Linked DNA regions of Pelodiscus sinensis. The protein of the gene in region 3 purifies or fractionates together with the protein of the main gene of each other region. This does not show direct contact. Links are inferred from orthologs where the notes say so. Each region holds a gene or a part of one and is shown on either strand. Other genes may lie near its edges. The genes, in order: YAF2, NKAPD1 and CSNK2B.

Region 1 (3,746 bases), on a different chromosome or scaffold from region 3:
TTTTATGCTTACCTAGAGCTCTTCTTCAGATCTGGGAACCTTGTCTCTTTCACCAACAGAAGCGGACCTAGTAAAAGGTATTACCTCACTCACCTAGCTTCAATAAAGATGTATAATTCTATTAAATTCTCTGAAAACTGAAAAACCAAGTTAAGTAGAAATCTAGCCTCATTTTTAGTACTGGAAAACATAGTATGATAAGTAAATGTCAAAAGGTTATGAACCTGACTGCTATCATAAAGACAAGTCATTCTACGAACTCTCTAATAAATTTAAAGTTAGTTTTGAAAAAATATTTTTAAAAATCTTTTTTACAAATATACATCATCAAAAGAGAGAACAAGTCTATTCCTGAATTATTTGAACATTAATTTACAATAAATTCATTGCAAAAATCGTATCCAGTATTATTATGTTTTATGTTTGTAATAAAGCTCTTATAACTCTTAATAAAAGACTGTGGCATATCTCTTTTGCTAACAGGATTGACAAGATATAATACATAAATAATACTAATACTAATAATAATAATAAATAAAAGCACATGTTATTTTCTTATGCTAATGTGCAAAAGACTCCACAGTTGCACACTTGTTGGTTTTATAAAATTATCCATCCTTTAGAGCGTGTTCTAACCCAGAAGTAGATGTGGGCCAAATGCTTTTGAATAGGCCAAAAAATCTTCTTATTTACTGGGGAGCGGAAACTGATTATTATTTTCTCTGTAGTTTGGACCTTGACAAAGAAATGTGAACCCTAACAAAAAATAACTGATTACCTCTGTTCTAACCCATAATAATAGAACTATACAAACATGTTGGATCCAAATGATTCTCAGGATGTTTATGATGTTCTACGGAAAAGGTTTACTCTGAGATGTCAGTGATTTCCAGACTGACTTCACTGTATTAAAAAACTCAGCTAATTTACATTCCCTTTGAAAAAGTAGTAGCAGGGAATCACCTCTGTAGAGAGAATAAATCTCTAAGGTGGGATTGAAAAAAACAGGATAGTTCTTTAACATTAAACATAGAAATAAATAAGATTTAGGGATTTTTGTTTGGGATTTTTGAGGAAATTGAATTAAGCTACTTCATAAAGAAAAATCAATGATAATAGAAGCAAATGCTTTAGATGAAATAGCATATTGATGACCCACCATGAAAAAATGGAAGATTAACACATTGTACTTTGTAGAGACCATATTTTCACATTTTAATTTATAAAAACACCTCATTTTATGCTGCACAAAATTATTTTCATAATTAGATTAATAAACCCTATCGGCATTGTATTTCAAAAGTGTTACCTTGCATATGCTATTGTACTTTAACATAGAAAACAAAACCTAATGCAAGCACAATAAGATGCCAGTTAAGCCCCAGGAGCTCCTTGCAATGAAGGGAACTCACCTTCTCTCCCCTTCGAGAGGATTTCAGCTAGTGTCTGGACACGTATTCTGTTAATTTTATAAAAGGAAAATGCCTCTTAGCTGCTAGAGCCAAAGGGTTAAATGAGTCTGGGAGCAAACGCTGCAGCATTTCTGGTCCCTGTCCCTACAGCCCACGGGCGACGGGATCCCCCATAAACCTGACCTAGTTCCTACTGCAGCAGCCGGCTCCCTGGCACCCCGGGGCTGCTGCGCGCCGGGTCAGGGTGTCCGGACACTCACCGAGTGGAGGTGCCCTTCCTCACATCGCACATCATGCACTTGAAGGCCTCGGCGCTATTCCGGAAGGTGCACACGCTGCAGTCCCAGTAGCCCTCGTCCGAGGAGGGTTTCGGCTGCCGCTTCGGCCTGCAACACACACAACCCGGGGGGGAGGGGGGGACAGGCGGGGGCGGTGGGTCAGGCCCCGCTCGCAGCCCGGCCCGACCGCCCCCGCTGCAGCCCGGCTCCCGCGGCCGCCATGGCCGCTGCACGGCCGAGCCGGCTCGCCGCTGCTCCCGGCGCAGGGTCGGGCCCGGCCAGGAGGCGCCGCTAATCCAGGGCGCGGGCGCTGCCGGCGCCAGGCCTCCGCGCCGCCCTTACCTGGTCGGGCTCTTCTTGTCTCCCATGCCGGCTGCAGACGCGTCCCCGGCCCGGCCCTTTGTGTGTTTGTAAATAAGGAGGAGCGCGGGGGGCCCTGGCTCGAGCGGGGAGGAGGAGCCGCCGCCGCAACCTCCAGCTGTCGGGGAAACTCCGGCTCCCTCTGCCGCCCGCCGCCCCCTCCTCCCTCACGTGTCCCCCCGCCGCCAACCAGCGGCCGCCCGCAGCCCTCCGAGCCCCCGGCAGCGCGAGGCGGCAGGTTCGCATCTGCTGGCGGCGCCAGCCGGCCTGAGGGGAGCGGGCGGCGAGCTGCTGAGGCGGCGGCGCAGCCCTCGTCGCTCGCCCCACAGCGCGCGCGCTGGCTGGCTGGAGGGGGCAACGGGATGGGAGCTCGTGTGTGTGCTGGGCCAGCCACCCCCGCCCCCGTGTGCGGGCTAGGGGTCCCCGCCCTGCGGGGAGTGACGGCGTGGGGGTCCCCCGGCCATTGTGTTGTCTCCTGCGCCTGTAACAGCTTGCCTAACAGCACATGGCAAGCAAGCTGCCAGGCGGGCTGAGAGACAGATCCCCTCTGCAGCAATGACATATGTATTTCATACAGGCCGTGCCTGTTTTGATATATTGCAGATGCAACGTGCATGTGCTGACAGATATGACAGAACCACTTTCCTATTGCACGAACCACGTTCCTGTTGCACGTAAATCAATATGCCATCTCACCTAGGATGATATGTAAATTACACACAAGGCAAGAGTGTGCCCAATCCTCATAAAGGCAGGACTGATCCAGAAGGCCTCTTCCTTTCATCTCTTCAAACCACATCTCTTCCTCTGTGTCAGGGTCCTGGCCTCATTCATCAGCTCCAAACTGGATAACTGAATATAAATATGAACAATGCTAACAGGTGGTACAGAATGAGGCAGCACACTTTCTCCGCAGATTAGGCCACAGCAACACTAGTTATTGGTCTATTTTCATTGCCAGTCCAAAGCCGTGGGCATGCTGTTGAAAGCCATTCATGGATCTGGTCTTACTAGGGTTATCAACCCTCCAAGATTGTCCTGGAGTCTCCGGGAATTCAAGATTAATTTTTAATTAAAGATTATGTTATGTGATGAAATCTCCAGGAATATGTCCAACCAAATTTGGCAACTCAAGGTCCTAAGTACATTAGCGATTACATTTCCATCTATGAATTACTAGTATAGCTACATTCCACTGGAACAATGCTGATCAAAGCTCAGGATAAAAAATTATGAGAGCCAGAAATGGGGCATTTTCTGATGAGGAGATCTGGTTGTGGAACAAAATTTCAGAAGAGAATAATTTAATCCAGAATCTTACAGCTTCAAGACCTTTCCTCTTTCATAAAGCTTCCATATTATCATAGAGTAACATTTACCACAATAATTAGACCCCGCCCTCAAAGAAAAAAAAACCTGTATCCCATGCAGTGCTGTCATAACCAGGTTAGGAGAAAAGTAGAAAACTCCAAGAAGTACCATGAGATACCTTGCTATACCAGTCAATTAACCTCAGAAATGTTCAGACACTGGTACTATTGTGATAGATGCAGATACAAATTCATATAAGATCTAGATTAGATGCAAGGTTACAAACAACATTAATATTTGTATTCATAGATTAAGTACAAATAAAATGTGCCTAACAGCATAAAAAAACCCATGAAGAATGTTGTTCCTTTTCTGAACATTGCAA
Region 2 (3,746 bases), on a different chromosome or scaffold from region 3:
GTCTGCTTCTCCAGCTCTCTTATTTTCCACATTTCTGATTCTTCCTGAATCTGAAAAATATGAAGAAAATGAGAAAATAAGATTAAGTGCTCCACAGAAGTGTTGCTTTGCAACTATGAGGCACTGTAACCTCACTTCTTCTAGGTCAGTAATTCTGAGCTGGATGGATTTCAAACTAAGCTGACCTGCTTGCAGTGATATAAATGCGTCTTTTTAGCTATATTAAGTAAACCAAAAGGAGAAACATCATGACAATTAGCTGTAGTGGTTTTATAGGTGAAGAGTCTAATTCTGCAATCTGATCCATATAAGTGGATCCTCCAAGTCTATGCAAAAATCTCTCTCACTTCATTGGAGTTCTTCTCTCACATCTCTTACAGAACTGAAGTTGAAGCGAGTAATCACGTTAAACACATGAAAATACAACATGCAGCCATCTAGTGCTTTGACACAGATTTAGCTCACGTAGCTTTGTTATCCATGTGGCATCATCGCAGGTGCATATGAGATAAGTGCTCTTTGGAAAAATGCGTCTGCTGAATTAAATGCTTTAGTAAAGAAAGGCTAATTTCAAAATCTTTTACCAGGCTTGTGCACTGAAGTCAAGATCAATCCCCAAAGAGACCTGTTTTACAAAAGCACAAAAACCTAACAAGTGCTAAATTAAAAGAATCACCAAACCCAAAAGGTAAATATTATGAAAAAGTCCTTTTCGAAGATACCAGAGCTAGACAAACACTTCCATTATTTGTAAATAGATGAAACTTGTAAACAAATATTCCCTTGCCATGCCTACAAACCAAACAAGGCAGCACTAAGCAACTGAAAGGGAACTTGATTATGAACACATAAAACTGACTTTAATTGCCCAAGCTGAGAGAAAAGCAAAAAATGAAACAAGAGTTTAAAGAGGGAAAATCTAGATGAGTAAACATACATGTCATTGTTAGCAATGTAGGTAGAGGAGCTATGCTTATGCACAAAATGTGATTTTCAACTGATGGTGCCCCCTTAAAAAAATTTCTTGCTCAGCTAACAGTTAATTCACCTCTACATTCAGGATCAAATTCAGTTCAGTGCAGAAAATCAGCAGATGGCGTTGGCACTCTCTAAGTCCCAAAGAGAGCACTGTGATTTATTTATTTTTTTAAAGTTTATACATTTTTCATTTTATTTTTTGGAAATACAGTGTTATTTCATTTTATCTACCCTCATGGGAAAGCTGGAACCCTGCCCATGGAGGGAGGTGAGAGGCCCTGGACCTGGAGTTGGCTCAGGTTGGTTCCTGCCCAAGAGGTACAGTTCCAGTTGCTATAAGGTACAATGGACTCCTAAGATGCACTGTAGAAATTTCTACCTTCAAAAATACACCTGTGTGCTGAACAAGTAATTTAGCTACCATAATTCAGCAACAGTAAAATGAAAATAGCATAGCTCCATACAATGGCATCAAGAAAGAGCTTCCCCTAGAAGAATCATATCTGGGACCACAACACTAAAATAACAGATGTCACGGCAAGTGAGGGAATGCCAGATTCTGACATAGATAAGGAAAGTCAGACAGACTGTATTAGCAAGACAAAGTGGATGAGGTAATATCTTTCATTGGATCAACTTGTTGGTGAAAGAGACAAGTTTCTTCAGGTCTGGGCAATTAGAAGTGATACCATACTTTAAACACAGAGCGAGAGAAACAAAGGGACAGAACATGGTTCCCTACCTTGTTGTGTGCATCAGTGTGACGAATGACATTTCGTAAGAGAACTTTTCCTAAAGGGACCCGGGACATTCTTTAACCTTCATAGAATTCACAAAAAAGAAAGCAATTAGAGAATCACATATAAGACTCTTTAATGCAGAAAATGCTCGTCAGGACTGAGACAAAGCTTAAAAGCAATTTTTTTCCACCTGTATGACAGAAAACATGTTATTGACTCAGGCTGACATTTGTGTTCCCTAAGAAAACACTGCATTACCCCAAAACGAAGACTTCTTAGAGCCACTCTTCACATACAGGGCTTAGAAAGGATCATGCAGTAACTGATGCCCACGTTCAGAGTTCCTGATAAACCTCTGTATCTCGTATCGCACATATCAATGAGAAGCGGGAAACAAAGTATTTATTAGTCTAATGTCCATGTTGATCACCTTTCACGTGGTGGATCTGATCCTGCGCTTACCTCGCTCCGCACAAGTCAGATGAGACTGCGCTGAAACCAACGGAGCTATGCTGGTGAAAAACGAACATGAGGAGAGACCCAGGCCCTACAGATACAGCCATTCACCGCCCAGCTCAATGCAGCCCCCCCGTGGTGTCAGCCAGCAGCTAGCTGACAGCTCGCAGCATGTTAGGGTGGAAAATAAAGAGGCCTCCCGGAAAGCGGGAAGAGGGGAGGGAGGTCTAGGGAAATGGGCTTCGACCCAAAACACCAGCCCGCCTGGGACCCATCAGCAGCCACACGTGGAGCCAGGCTGGGGGCCGTGATGGGGGAAGCGGAGGCAGCGCCAGCCGGCAGGGAGCGTGGGGCAGTGAGTGGCTGCCACAGCGCTGGGCATATGGGGGGGGGGCACAGATCCAGTCAGACCTGGGGAGGACCCCCCCCCGCAATCCTCTGCCCCCCCCCCCCCCAAGACCCCCTCCTCACATCCTCCCCCAGAAGCCCCAGGTCCCTCCCCCAGCTCAGCCCCCCTCCCGACCCAACGCCCTTCTCACCCGCGGAGGGAGGGGGACTACTCCCCCCAGCCCGGAAGTGCGTGACCCGGAAGTGCTTCCACCGGACGCACCCGGCTGCGGAGGGCCCGAACCGGAGGCGGGACCTAGGGACCCAGTAAGGAACGCAAGGATTGGAGGGCTAACGTCACTTCCACTTCCGGTTTTTCTCACGTCGGTTGTTATGGAAACGGCTTCTGGTGTCGCGAGGTAGGAGCTGTGTGGCGCGTGAGGGGGAAGGGAGCAAAGGGCCGCTCGGAGCTCCGGGCTAGGGTGGAGGCCAGCGGGAAGCTCGGGGCATTAGAGTCGGGGCCTTGGAGCAGCTCGGGGCGCTGGGATGGGGGCCAAGGGGCCAGCTCGGGGCACTGGGATGGGGGCCAAGGGGCAGCTCGGGGCGCTGGGATGGGGGCCAAGGGGCAGCTCGGGGCGCTGGGATGGGGCTAAGGGGACAGCTCGGGGCGCTGGGGTGGGGGCAAGGGGACAGCTCGGGGCGCTGGGATGGGGGCCAAGGGGGCAGCTCGGGGCGCTGGGATGGGGGCCAAGGGGCAGCTCGGGGCGCTGGGATGGGGGCCAAGGGGCAGCTCGGGGCGCTGGGATGGGGGCCAAGGGGGCAGCTCGGGGCGCTGGGATGGGGGCCAAGGGGACAGCTCGGGGCGCTGGGATGGGGGCCAAGGGGGCAGCTCGGGGCGCTGGGATGGGGGCCAAGGGGACAGCTCGGGGCGCTGGGATGGGGGCCAAGGGGGCAGCTCGGGGCGCTGGGATGGGGGCCAAGGGGCAGCTCGGAGCGCTGGGATGGGGGCCAAGGGGGCAGCTCGGGGCGCTGGGATGGGGGCCAAGGGGACAGCTCGGGGCGCTGGGATGGGGGCCAAGGGGGCAGCTCGGGGCGCTGGGATGGGGGCCAAGGGGACAGCTCGGGGCACTGGGATGGGGGCCAAGGGGGCAGCTCGGGGCGCTGGGATGGGGGTCAAGGGGCAGCTTGGGGCAGTGGGATGGGGGCAAGGGGACAGCATGGGGTGCTGGGATCACGTCAAGAGGC
Region 3 (3,746 bases):
CTCACACAAAGCTGGCAGGGGGCTGGTGACGGGTCAGGGGCTCAGACCGAGACCCCTCCTCAGCCCTGGGACCCCCACCTAGTACCTGGCTCCAAGTCGAGGATCATGTCGAGCGCCTGGCGGTAATGGGGGACTTGCTCATTCAGCCCCGTCAGGTTAAACTTGTCCTGGATATAGTCCTCATCCACCTGCGGGGGAGGGAGACGGGCTGAGAACCCAGGTGTCCGGACTCCCAGGCCCTCCTCCCCCCATGCTCCAACCACTAGACCCCACTCTCCTCCCATGGTCAGGACAAGTCCTGGCTCCCAGTTGCTTCCTCTCCCAGAGCCAGGCAGAGAACCCAGGCACTCTGGCTCCAACCACTAGGCACCACTCACCTCACAGAAGAACTCATTTCCACGCAGGCCACAGAACCAGGAAATCCAGGAGACCTCTTCGGAACTGCTCATCTTCCCGTCCTCTGCAGAGGGGGGGGGGGGGGGGCGCGTCAGGCTACCCGTGTGTGCGGTGAACGTGGCTCGGGCTTGGCTGGCAGCCCCACACGCCGCTCCCACTACAGACCGTGCAGCCAGTGCTGTGACGTGTCCCCTCACGTGTCCCCTCAGGAGCAGCCCCCTCAGGAGCAGCCCCCTCAGACAGCGTTCAGATGCGCCCCCTCTGGGGTGGGACACGGGGAGGGAGAGGGGCAGTTCTACAGGGACCCCTCTCTCGGCACTGAGATGCAGCTGGCTCTGGGGTGGGGCATGAAGGGTGAATGGCCCTTCCCCCATTGTATCTTTAACTCGTCCTCCCATGGCACGGGCAGAGATGAGGGATAAATACTCCCCCTTTGCACTGGGGCACAAATGCCCCCACCCTCCTCCCCTCTTTGCACAAGGGCAGACCGCTCATCATTGTGTGGGTCTGGGCCCCCTTGCCCTCCCGCTGCACAGCTCCCTCCTCCCCAGCTTGATACTAAGAAGGCAGATGACCCTGCCACATGCCCCCTTCGCTCTAGTGAGCACATGCCCCCCCCTTTGTGCTAGGGACAGACCCCCCCCACACACACACCCTTTGCACTGGGGACAGAACACACACTCTTACACCCGTTGGATTAGGCCCCCTCCCCTCTTTCCACTAGGATGCAAATCACCTCCGGCCTCTAAGGGCAGGCTCCCCCCCCTTTGCATTAGGGTGAAAATTCCCCCTCTTTGCACTAGGGTGCAAATCCCCCCGCCATGCCTTCCAGTAGGGGCAGCCCCCCCCACCTTTGCACTAGGAGAAGGCCCTCTTCCCTCTTTACACGAGGAGCAAATCCCCCCGCCCCCCACTGCACTAGGGCAGACACCCCGGCCTCCCTTGTGCTACAGCACACCCCCACCCCCACTTTGCACTACGGCAGACTCCCCGCCCCCCCTTTGCACTAGGGTAGAAGCCCCCCCTTGCACTACGGCGCGGCCGGCCCTTTGCACAAGGGCAGTCCACCCCCCGCCCCTCTTCGCACCAGGGCGCAGGACACTCACCCCCGCGCGCTCAGCCCCGCTCGGCAGCAGGCGGTGCCCGGCAGCGAGTGCAAACAAGCGCTGCCAGACGTGCACAGGCCTCGCTTCCGGCCCCCTCCCAGCGCGCGGGGCATGACGGGAGATGGAGTTCGCAGCCACCGCCGCCTCCATAGGAGTCCAGGGACGCGGGGCCAGCGCGGAACTACCGCTCCCACCATGCAAAGCGGGGGCAGCGGGCGCGGGGGGTGATGGGAGGCCGCGATGCACGACGGGAGTTGCAGTTCTCCAGCCGCCCGAACCGCATTGGGACGCATGGGCAGCGGGACCCGACGGTACTACGGGCGTACGGCAGGAGGGGACCCCGCGGAGCCGCAAAGCAGCATGGGAATCGTAGTCCCGGAGTGCCCCTAGGGCCATTAGAACGAACGGGCGGCAGGATGCTCACAGACTACACCCGCCATGACAGACAGAGAAGCGGCTGCGTGCGCAGCCGGGCGCCGCAAGGCCTCCTGGGAGTTGTAGTCCCGCAGCTCCCCGCGCGAACTACAGCCGCCATGTTTGAACGCGATAGGCGGGACGGGAGGAAGCCGGGGGAGGCGCCGCAAGGCCGCTTGGGAGTTGTAGTTCTGTCGCCGCCCGAGCCTCATTGCCGGGATTGGAGGGCGGGGGAGCGGGAAACTACGAAGCCCAGAGGAGGGGCGAGAGGAGGGGCCGCAGAGCATAATGGGAGGAGCGGTCTTCCCCCCCCCGCCGTCTCTTAGGAGCAGACCGGAGCCAGACGCATGGGGGAGGGGCCCGGACACCTGAAAGCCATCAGACATGGGCGTGGCCTGACCCGAAGGGGAGGGGCTTATCCAAAAAGGGGGGTGTCCGCACGCAAATGGGCGTGGCCTGTCCCGATGGGGTGAGACTTCACCCAGAGTAACTGCCATATTAAAGGGCGGGGCCAACACAAAGAGGGCGTGGCTTCCCCTAAACGGGCGTGTCCCTGCAAAATGGGCGTGGTCTAACCCTCGTGAGGGCGTGCCCCTTACTGGGACAGGCGGGATTTCCCGCAGGGGGCGTGGCCTCATCTCCGGGAGTGTCCGGCCCCCACGAAAGGGCGTGGCCTCCCCGCCGGGGGCGTGGCTTCCTTTACCCTCCTTGATGCTGGTGCTGCTCCGCCGGGTGCTGGCTCTGCTGTACTCCATGGCGCCCCGCGTGCTCATCTGCCCCGGCACGTTAATTGGTACCGGCCATGAAGGGTTAATTACGCTGACCTACAGGTTAATTACAAATATGTTAATTAGCCTGTCGCGGGTAGGGCTATTTCTGACGTAATCCGGTTAGGGTGAGGTAAATTAGAAGGTGTGTTAATGAACCGACGTCGGGATGACGTCACGCGCCTGCGAGCCGATCCTACTGTCATTAATTCCTTCCCAAATTAAATCTAATTCTATTGAAATGGGAACAAATCGACGCTAATTGGCTGGGTTCGAGGCAGAAAGGCATGCTGGGTAATATGCAAATGAGATTACCGCGCACCTCACGCTAGAAGCAGGGAAGCGCGCGGGGCAGTGGCCGTTACTAGGCCAGCGAGAGCGCGAGGGCCCTTGCGCATGCGCTGTGCTGGCCTCTAGGTTCGAAGCACGGGGCTGCGCATGCGCCTGTTTTCGGTTTCGCACGCGCGCCCCCTGGCTCGGTTTCACTGGGCTCCCGTGCGCAGGAGCCTGGCTCCTCCCTTCACCGCCTGACGCGTTACGTGACGTCACTCACGCGCCCCGCCTGCTTTTCCCGCGTCTGGAACACGGTGCGCACGCACCTCGGGGGGGGGGGGATGTACTGCGCATGCGCGTCGCGGGTCACTCGTCGCGGCCTAGAGTAACCGGCCGGCGGGAGGCTGCGTTCGAGCCGCTCCCCTCATGCGCGTGCCTAGAACCAGGAACCCCCCTGCCCCCCCCACCGGCGGCCTCGCGCGCATGCGCCTTCCCTTGGCCCCCGGGGGCGGCGCGCGGCTGCTGCGGCCTCCGGCGTCTCTATGGTGAGTGGGGCCGCGACGGCGTCTGGGGGGAGGGGCGGGAGTGTGGCTGGCCCCGCCCCCAGGGCCTAGCCCCGCCCACAGCTCCCCGAGGCGCTCGCCCCGCCCCCTGGCCCTTAGCCCCGCCCCTGGGGCGCTAGCCCCGCCCACAGCGCCCCCAGGGGGCTCGTTCCGGATTCTGGCCCCGCCCCCAGACCCGGGTTCCGCCCTCAAGGAGCTGGCCCCGCCCCCAGACCCGGGCTCCGCCC

The links.
Region 1: the proteins of CSNK2B (region 3) and YAF2 purify together in Homo sapiens (affinity purification with mass spectrometry; 5 studies listed by BioGRID and IntAct, counting the BioPlex papers as one, with this or other methods). This does not show direct contact. The link is inferred for Pelodiscus sinensis from reciprocal best matches to the Homo sapiens genes CSNK2B and YAF2.
Region 2: the proteins of CSNK2B (region 3) and NKAPD1 purify together in Homo sapiens (affinity purification with mass spectrometry; 3 studies listed by BioGRID and IntAct, counting the BioPlex papers as one, with this or other methods). This does not show direct contact. The link is inferred for Pelodiscus sinensis from reciprocal best matches to the Homo sapiens genes CSNK2B and NKAPD1.

The regions. Positions count from the first base shown.
Region 1 is NC_134711.1:53,360,418-53,364,163, forward strand, and holds the start of YAF2 (YY1-associated factor 2), read right to left. Parts: upstream 2,424-3,746; 5' UTR 2,059-2,423; coding exon 2,033-2,058; intron 1,799-2,032; coding exon 1,673-1,798; intron 1-1,672. UniProt on the Homo sapiens protein: Binds to MYC and inhibits MYC-mediated transactivation. Also binds to MYCN and enhances MYCN-dependent transcriptional activation. Increases calpain 2-mediated proteolysis of YY1 in vitro.
Region 2 is NC_134736.1:6,938,997-6,942,742, reverse strand, and holds the start of NKAPD1 (uncharacterized protein NKAPD1), read right to left. Parts: upstream 2,838-3,746; 5' UTR 2,714-2,837; intron 2,633-2,713; exon of another isoform or gene 1,977-2,632; intron 1,798-1,976; 5' UTR 1,790-1,797; coding exon 1,721-1,789; intron 51-1,720; coding exon 1-50.
Region 3 is NW_027466017.1:275,872-279,617, forward strand, and holds the start of CSNK2B (casein kinase II subunit beta), read right to left. Parts: upstream 2,741-3,746; 5' UTR 2,690-2,740; coding exon 2,620-2,689; intron 1,639-2,619; exon of another isoform or gene 1,503-1,638; intron 461-1,502; coding exon 378-460; intron 189-377; coding exon 86-188; intron 1-85. UniProt on the Homo sapiens protein: Regulatory subunit of casein kinase II/CK2.